2 linked regions of the Caenorhabditis elegans genome follow. The protein of the gene in region 2 purifies or fractionates together with the protein of the main gene of each other region. This does not show direct contact. Each region holds a gene or a part of one and is shown on either strand. Other genes may lie near its edges. The genes, in order: F42A10.6 and famh-136.

The links.
Region 1: the proteins of famh-136 (region 2) and F42A10.6 fractionate together in Caenorhabditis elegans (co-fractionation; one large-scale study listed by BioGRID). This does not show direct contact.

What each region holds. Positions count from the first base shown.
Region 1 is NC_003281.10:6,175,468-6,178,866, forward strand, and holds F42A10.6 (MD-2-related lipid-recognition domain-containing protein), read right to left. Parts: upstream 1,395-3,399; coding exon 1,244-1,394; intron 1,197-1,243; coding exon 1,031-1,196; intron 986-1,030; coding exon 871-985; intron 826-870; coding exon 727-825; 3' UTR 690-726; downstream 1-689. Other genes in the region: abcf-3 (ABC transporter domain-containing protein), read left to right, coding at 1-244, 345-585; F42A10.7 (MD-2-related lipid-recognition domain-containing protein), read right to left, coding at 2,548-2,758, 2,858-3,210.
Region 2 is NC_003281.10:8,885,896-8,890,905, reverse strand, and holds famh-136 (FAM161 homolog famh-136), read right to left. Parts: upstream 3,156-5,010; 5' UTR 3,149-3,155; coding exon 3,024-3,148; intron 2,910-3,023; coding exon 2,708-2,909; exon of another isoform or gene 2,491-2,707; coding exon of another isoform or gene 2,213-2,490; intron 2,117-2,212; coding exon of another isoform or gene 1,967-2,116; intron 1,921-1,966; coding exon of another isoform or gene 1,863-1,920; exon of another isoform or gene 1,750-1,862; intron 1,059-1,749; coding exon 954-1,058; 3' UTR 763-953; downstream 1-762. Other genes in the region: lnkn-1 (Protein linkin), read right to left, coding at 299-418, 476-670; putative RING finger protein ZK637.14, read left to right, coding at 1,863-1,920, 1,967-2,116, 2,213-2,490. UniProt on the Caenorhabditis elegans protein: May play a role in locomotion and behavior.

The sequences.
Region 1 (3,399 bases), 2.7 Mb from region 2:
GACTTCGAAATGTGAATCGTCGTATTCGAATTGCCTACTTCACACAGCATCACGTTGATCAATTGGATATGGAAACATCAGCTATTGAGGTGTTGATGAAGAATCATCCTGGAAAGACTCAAGAAGATTATCGAGCAGCTTTGGGAAGATTTGGATTAGCTGGTGATATGGCTTTGCAATCTGTTGAGACACTTTCTGGAGGTCAAAAGTCTCGATTGGCATTTGCTAATTTAGCCTTGATGCAGTGAGTTTTGCTTGAAAATAGCAACATTTTCAAAAAATATTCATTTTTTCCTAGAAAAAAAAATTTATTCAAACTCCGTCTAATTCATAGTATTTTTCAGGCCAAACTACTTGATTCTTGACGAGCCTACTAATCACTTGGATGTCGAAACGGTTGAAGCTCTTGGAAAAGCGCTTAATGTTTTCAATGGAGGTGTCGTTTTAGTTTCTCACGACGAGCAACTCATCGAGCTTGTGTGCAAGGAACTTTGGGTTGTGAAGGATCGAATGGTGACAACTTTGGAGGGAGGACTCGAAGAATACAGAAAGCAAGTCTACAAGCAGCTTCAACTCACTGCCTAAATTTTTCCTGTTTTGTTTCGCATTCGGTTGTTTCCCATATTTCACCCAGTTTCCACGTTTTGTTACACTATTTAAGAATTCAATTTATAATTTTTGTTGAGAAAAAAGTTTATTGCTTTATTAAATTGTTCACTTCAAAATTTAAGTATGAGTGAGAGCTCTAGCCTGGAAAATAATGCAAAGGTCTTCCTTGCTCGGGTCATCATGAAGAAGATACTCGAGTTGGTAAGGCTTATCGTTCTGAAATTGGGGGTTTAACTTTCGAAGAATACACATCAAAATAACCTTGAGAAGATTGATGATAGCTGGAGTATCAGAGAAGTCGAGTTCCAAATTGATGACCTTGTTTTTCGGTTCAATTGGGCATGGTACTCCGTTGGTACAAGCATCGATGTTGTTCCTGGAAAAGGTTACTGTAGGTTACTGTAAGAAGCAAAAATCTTACAAAAGTCCAAAAGTTGGTACTGAAGACCATCCACAAGTAGCCATATTCCATGACCAGACCTTGATAGTTTGTTTAAGTCCAGGAGTAGTATAAGTTGAGGATGGATCATTGATGGATGTTGCAATGAGAAGTGGTTCAGTAAGACGGATTGGATATTCACTGTTACCTGGATTCAATTATACATTCGTAGAAACTATCAGAAAACTTGCGAACCACTCTTATCAGTTGGATTAACATTGGTCACCATAACTGGTCCATTTGAGCATTGCCACCAGTTGACCTTTGTCTCTGTAGTATTCGGCCATTGATCGCATGCCGACGAGAGAGCAAGTAGGGCGAAGAGACACAGACAACGAGCAAGCATCTGGAATTGAAGTAGAATTTTTCGTTTCGAAAGCTAGTGGATGTGATCTAAGTTGGAATAAAATAGTGAATCTGTAATTGGTTAACTGGGAAATTTGAGAAAATGGAAAACTAAATTGCAAAATGATCATCAAATTCGATAGGAAAAACTACGATAAGAGAAATATCAAAGCACATGGCAATTTGAAGAAACCACGCGTTTTAATAGTTTTTTGCATGTAATTGTGATTCTAGAATAAAAAAGAGGTCACAGAGAACCGGAAATATCCACAGGAAGTACTCATTTTCATTGAAAAAATTTCATATGTATATTGAGTATTCCTGAGAAATGCACCTTTCGAAGTCTCGCCACGATTGAAAATTTTGCTCACTCGTGCTATGCGCCTTTAAAACTTGGGTACCATACATTTTTATTTTTCATTACTTTGTTCAGCAACTTTAGCTTTATCAGCGTCTTAATATTACGTAGACGTCAGAAGATGAGAGTTTCCGTCATAATTTACGCAAATGGGTCTCGCCACGCGGAAAGCGGGTTACTGTAACACGTGTCAATATGAAGGCCGCTACTGCACCATGTTTTTCTAATACAATGAATAACTGATTCCAAGCTTTTTAAAATAAAATTATGATACAATGGAGGCCTAAGAAATTGACGCGTGGTAAAGTAACTCGTTGTACTCATAAGATATGAAGAAAATTTTCATTTTTGACGTCTATGCGATTTTTATATTCTTCTTCTATTTTGATCATTAAATCCGATGAATTGAAGGAAAGACAAAGTTTTAAAAAACCTGTGCAAGCACGTATTCTTCATACTTCCAACTTTAGGTACTTATTGAAATTTCTCAGTTTTCAAACTATAACTGAATCGGGAAATTATTAATAATTTCTGATTCCTTGTTTACTTGTTTGATTTTTGGTTCATTGCCAAAATGGCAAATATGCAACATTTTCCAGTGCGAATAGTTCTTTTTTATCAAAATGTTATCGCAACTTTAGTTCGATTTCGGAAATTTTTCCTTCAAATTGATAATGAACAAAAACCAACAAAAAGTCAAGATTATGTACATTTTATTGTTGTTAAAATATACGCCCGTGTTATAGTGCAAATATAATTAGAAATCTTAAAGCCAATCGCCAAATGGGAAAGCATTTTACTTAAGGAAGGCCCAAGCCTGGACCATCATGCATGAGGTGTCTCCGGATTGGTTGTCGTGAAGGATGTACTCGAGTTGATATGGCTGATTGTCCTTGAGTAAGGCGATGATTTGGTCGAACTTGGTGAAGTCAATGATGACGTCAAGTTCTTGGTTTCCTGGACGGACTGGGCATGGGACTCCGTTTGCGCAGGCGTCAAGGTCCTTCCTGGAAGATGAATCGTTATTTATTATTTAGAAGTCGAGAATAGCCTAAACAGTTCACCCATTCTAATCCATTAGAATTAACTTAAAGATATAAACTTACAAAAGACCGAGAGTTGGGATTGAGCTCCATGTGCATCCGTTCCATCCTCCATACTTCCAGATATTGACGGTGTTACGAAGATTTGGCGACACATATGTGCTCGTTGGGTTATTGATTTGAGTCTTGACAACAATTGGCTGACTCAAATGAATTGGGTACTCGTATTGTTTTCCGGTAGAGTCGTATGGAGTAGCATTCAAAAATTGAACTGGTCCAGATGAGCACTGCCACCAGTGCATCACTTTGTCGGTTCCATTTGGTGCAGCACAGTCTGCCAAGTTGTCGACAACTGGGAGAACAAAAGAAGTGGCAGCGATGCAAAGAACTGAGAGAATGACACACCTGAGAAGCATTGTGAGAGGCTGAAAGTTCAAGAATTCATTGAAAAAAATGACAGTTTTGAATGGTGAAATGGTGATAAGTAGTGATGATAAGGGAGTAGAATGCAAGTAGAATAACTTTGGGGAACTGGTTATTAAGAAGCGTAGGATCAGGCTCGGACTTCTGTTTAGACTCGAGCCCAAGTTAAAATGAATCTTGGT
Region 2 (5,010 bases):
ACAACTTTCGTTTTTCGATTTTCAATTTACTCAAAGCAAAATTGAAATTTTTTTTGACGGCACTTTTGGTCACAGCTGTCGGAAATTGATTTTTATTTTATGATTGGCTTATTATGCATATATTGTTGTTTACATTACGTTTTTTGTTGATTTAATTTAAAAAAATCAATTTCCGGCCGCTGTAAACATGACAAAATGTAGATTTTAGCTAAAATTTGGTTTTTCTTTCGAAATTTTTCGTTTTTCGGGGCATTTCAAGTTCAATGAAGCAAAATGACAATGTTTTCAATAAACTCACCAAAACATCAAGCCTAGAGTCTCCATTGAAATCGCCAACTGAACATTCAACAAAATCTGCATTCAGGCTGGGTTTACTGATGGCAAACGATGTTCCTGGTGTGAATTTGGAAGCTTCGAGCTGAAAATTTCAAAATTTTTATGTGAAATTTCAACAAAAGAAAAAATAAAAACTAACCACATCAAGAAGTTTAGTTTCTTGATAATTAATCGTCAATGTTCCATTCGCAAAAACCAGAATATCAGTATTCCGATCTGCATTGAAATCTCCAAATGCACATACTTTTCCAAGTAAATCGGGAGCTTTTTTCTCGAGTGATAGGCTTCCACTAACCAAATTGATGAGCCATATGATCGGTAATATTTTTTTCATAGTACCTGAACGTTGTTTTGTTTGAAGAGAATAAGTTCGGTGGAAAAAGTATGAAATACGGTCAAAACGTTTAAGGAGAGTTTAAATCAATTGGGATAGAGATTTTATGACTGAATGCATGAAAACTTATTAAAAAAGTATGAAAGAAAAATAATGATATAATAGTGAGCAACAATGAGGGAGCCTAATGAGTGGAGAATACGCCTAAATGGGATATTTTTTTGATAAATGGGAAATTAAGAGGGGATATGGCAATACTCGGTGGAAAATGTGTGGCTGGCTCTCAGGTATTTTTCGCGAATCTCTTCTTGATTGCCGGAATTAATTTGATGTGATCATCAGCACAAACAGAGACACACGAATCGAGCTTCTCGTTGAAACTGAGCTTCTGAAATGCGAGGATTTTCTTAATTTTTGATCAATTTTTTTTTAATTTTGTGAGAAATCAGAGGCGTTAGGATCACAGAAATGTGTCTTATAAATATTTTTGCCATGCCTTGCTAAAGGCGCACGGAATTTATTAAGATGGGGCTCAGCGCGTAAAGAAAATATATTTCACTTTTCTGTTTCTTCCACGCCAAAAAACAGAAAAACACATATTTTTAATAAAAAACTGGTTTACAACAATTTTTAACATGAAAATGTTTTAAAAAAAGGCAAAATTTGCTAAAATCGAGGTAATTGCAATGAAAAATGTAAGGAAAAGCAGCTGCAAAAAATATTAAAAACTACCATAAACTTTTTTCCGCGCCGAGACCCTTCTGAATAATACCGTGCGTCTTTAGCGATCGCTAAATTTCTACCAAATTGATAATTATCATTAATTAGAGACGACAGAAAGAATAGAAAAGAAAATGAATCATTTTAGATTTCATAATGTTACATTAAAAAAAAAACACCCCTCGATACAAATCTTATGAGGGTCTAACTATTAAAATAGCAAAAGTAATACAAAACTAAAAATCGATGAACAGCGTGGCACTTGATTGGTGATTCATAAACCCCCGAAATTTGCATAAATAGTCATCAAAACTCGTGATGAAAGAATGGAGAGTGCGAGACAGACACGCAAAAAATCCGCAAACACCGTTACGACGAATTGCACGTTTTTCGTTGCACTTGCGTAAGTACGTTTTCCTTTTGTCACCATATCTCTCGTCATTTCTTAAAATATTTTATCTGGCAATTAGATATGTCGGAAAGAGACGCTATTAGAGCTTTTTCGCATATGCTCGAAACCATCTTCGTCAGTAAGTTATTTTATGAGAAAGCATTCAAATTATATATTAAATTAAGGAATGCGAGCGGAAGGTACTGGTTCACAAACAGATGCGATGCAAAGATGGCTGGATTTGTATAATGTTGGAAGTTTGCCAATTGACAAAAAATCATATAAAGCGCTGAGACTGATGGATCGAGAGACTACAGATCAACAGAAAGAAGATGGTATGAGAAACTATTAAAATTGAGCAAAGCTTGTATTTGAAAAAAAAAACACTCAGAAAAAATGCTGACTATTTGCCTAAATAATCTATTTTTCAGCAACCTGTGCAATTTGTTTGGATAACTTGCAAAACAACGTCGATATTCCTGAAGATCATGTCATCAAAGAGGAATTAAAAATTGATCCAACAACGTTCGGAACCACAGTTATCGTCATGCCATGCAAACATCGCTTTCATTATTTTTGTCTCACTCTATGGCTTGAAGCTCAACAAACTTGCCCAACATGCCGTCAGAAGGTCAAAACTGATAAAGAAGTTGAGGAGGAGGAGAGACAGAGAAATCTTGAAGAGCTTCACGATTCAATGTATGGATGATTTATAATTTAAATCTTATTTCTATTAAATTCTTCTTCGACAAAACTAAATTAATTTTCAACCCAAACTAGCTTTTCACTGTATATACTTTTGTTTTAATTCCAAAAAAATGTTCCACCAAAAGCTGTGAGCTATGAGCCCCCTCGGGTGTTGATTTTTTAAATCCTAAATTAATTTATAAATTTTTTGATTTCTAAAATTTAATAAATCTTCACACCTGTGATTCTGAATACTTATTGACATCTGGACCAAACTGTTGAACAAGCTTATCATAGCAAGTCATTGCACAGCGTGAGAGCTGGTCTTGAAGCCCTCCGAGCTCTTTTTCAAGATAGCCTTGCGCCTTTTTCATGCCATCGTTGCAGCTTTCAACGCAGTTCTCGACAGCATCGCGTGTGGTTTTCTTGTTGTCACAGCACCTGAAATAATGCAAAAAATTTTCAATTGCGAAGTTAAATTAGACATTTTCAGGTGGTTTAGCGTAATACAAATTGCTTACTAAACATATTTAGTGTAATTTCGAAAATAATTACCGAGCTGAGCACTGAAACATGCTCTTCTGCATATCCCTCAAATAGGTCTTATCCAAATCGTCAATCATCTCATCGACAGCCAGCTTTACTTTCATTTGAGTAGCCTCCATCGTTGAGTTTGACATATTTACCCTAAAAGTATTATAAAATTAAATTATTTATTGTTAACGGACATGTGAAAATCAATTTTCGAAAGTAAACGATATGTCATTTATGAATGACGCAAGAATTAAAGGATAAAGGAAGATAGCTAAAGCTCAAAATTTATAATCCCAGATTATACTTCCTTTCGTCATGTTATATGCAATTTAATTATTCTATATATTGGAAGTCTAAACTAAAATAAAATATTTCGTTTCATTAAAGAAAGAAACCAACGAACAAAAAAAAAACGAAAAGCACAAAGAACGCGCAAAAAATAACCAAAAAACAAAAAGAAATCATATCAGTTGACAAGAATTGCGCAAGTCGAGTGCTGACGCACTTCTTGATTATGCGAAGCTGGCGCACTTCTCGATGAGCTTGAAAGTCAAAGGCGAGTATACTGTAGTTGATGAATCTGAAATTAAAATTGAGAGAAATCAATTAAAACGGTGGCAAATACAACGTTTACATGCAAAAATTGTGTGAAATGTCGAGATTTCAAAATGTCGTTCCGAAAATATTGCGAAAATATTGCAAATTTCAAGAAAATCCCAAAATCAAGAAAGTAATTGTATTATAAATAGTAAAGTGTTTGTAAAAATCAATACGTTATAATAAATAGAGATTAAAATATTTTATTTTTAAATTTTATTATAACGTTGCTTTGACACAAAAACCATTCATGAAATGCATTCACAAAACTGTTTCTGAAAACTAAAAAAACAAATAATTTGGTCAACTTGTTGTTATTTCAAACAAAATACTCAAATCTTCTGATCTTTTTTCTCCTGTTTTAATAAATATTCGTTTTTCTCCTGTTTTCTCACAACTTGGGAATGGAAATTACAGTACTCTTTTAAAGGCGCACACCATTTTACAGCTAAATTGCAATTAACAAAAGTTTGTCGTGTCGAGACCGTATTTTTGGTACAAAAATCGGGCCGCTGAGTTATACTAATTCTTTTGAATTGTCACACTTCCAAATTCAGAAGTGACATTCTGAAACCGGAGCTCCTTTTTTTCCCGAATATTGCTCCTCGGAGCATCCTTTCGATCCGATATTCCTTGTGTTTTTCTTTGTTTGTTTAAACCGCCTACTTTTCATTTTTGTCCCTCTCGCTCTCTCTTTCTCACACGTTCTGTCTCTCTTAACCTCCTCCATTTCCATTTCTCGGCTTTCTTCTACTGCTTCGAAGCCAATGATGCTCAGCTGAGCCAAATAGAGAGACAGTGCGCATTATGAATAGACGTAGAGTCATATATGGAGACGTCTTTCTCTCTCTGAATCTGGAGCAACTCTCCTGGTTTTTATTCTTTTCCGTTTGAAGCTTTGAGCTCTGAATTTGGTGTCACACATCCACGTCATTGGACAAATTATTGGGTCATTTTGTCTCCCGGCTTAACCACATCGATTTCATGTTTGTTTCGTAATCCCCACCTCCCTCCTGTTCCCCGCAAACAGCTTTACAAATTTTTTGAAAAATGTGATTTTAAATTTAAAAAAAACTATAAATTTTTTTTGTTTGTTGAAAAAAATTATTTGAATAAAAATTACATTTCCAATTATTTTTTAGCGAAATATATTATTGAGTATTCTATTGAATAACTGCAGCCATAAAAACATTTTGAAATTGGAATGTTTTGTTCAATTACCAATGTTTTTGACTTTGTCACGACCCGACCGGAAACGTTTAAACATACTATTAACATAATATTTGTTGAATGCATTTGTGAATATGGTTTTTAGAAAGTTGATTAGAAAGTTAGATTTTTTAAATTTTGAATTTCACTAAAAGTTTTTAATTGGCAGAATACTTATTTTACTTGAAAAATATCCTCCAAC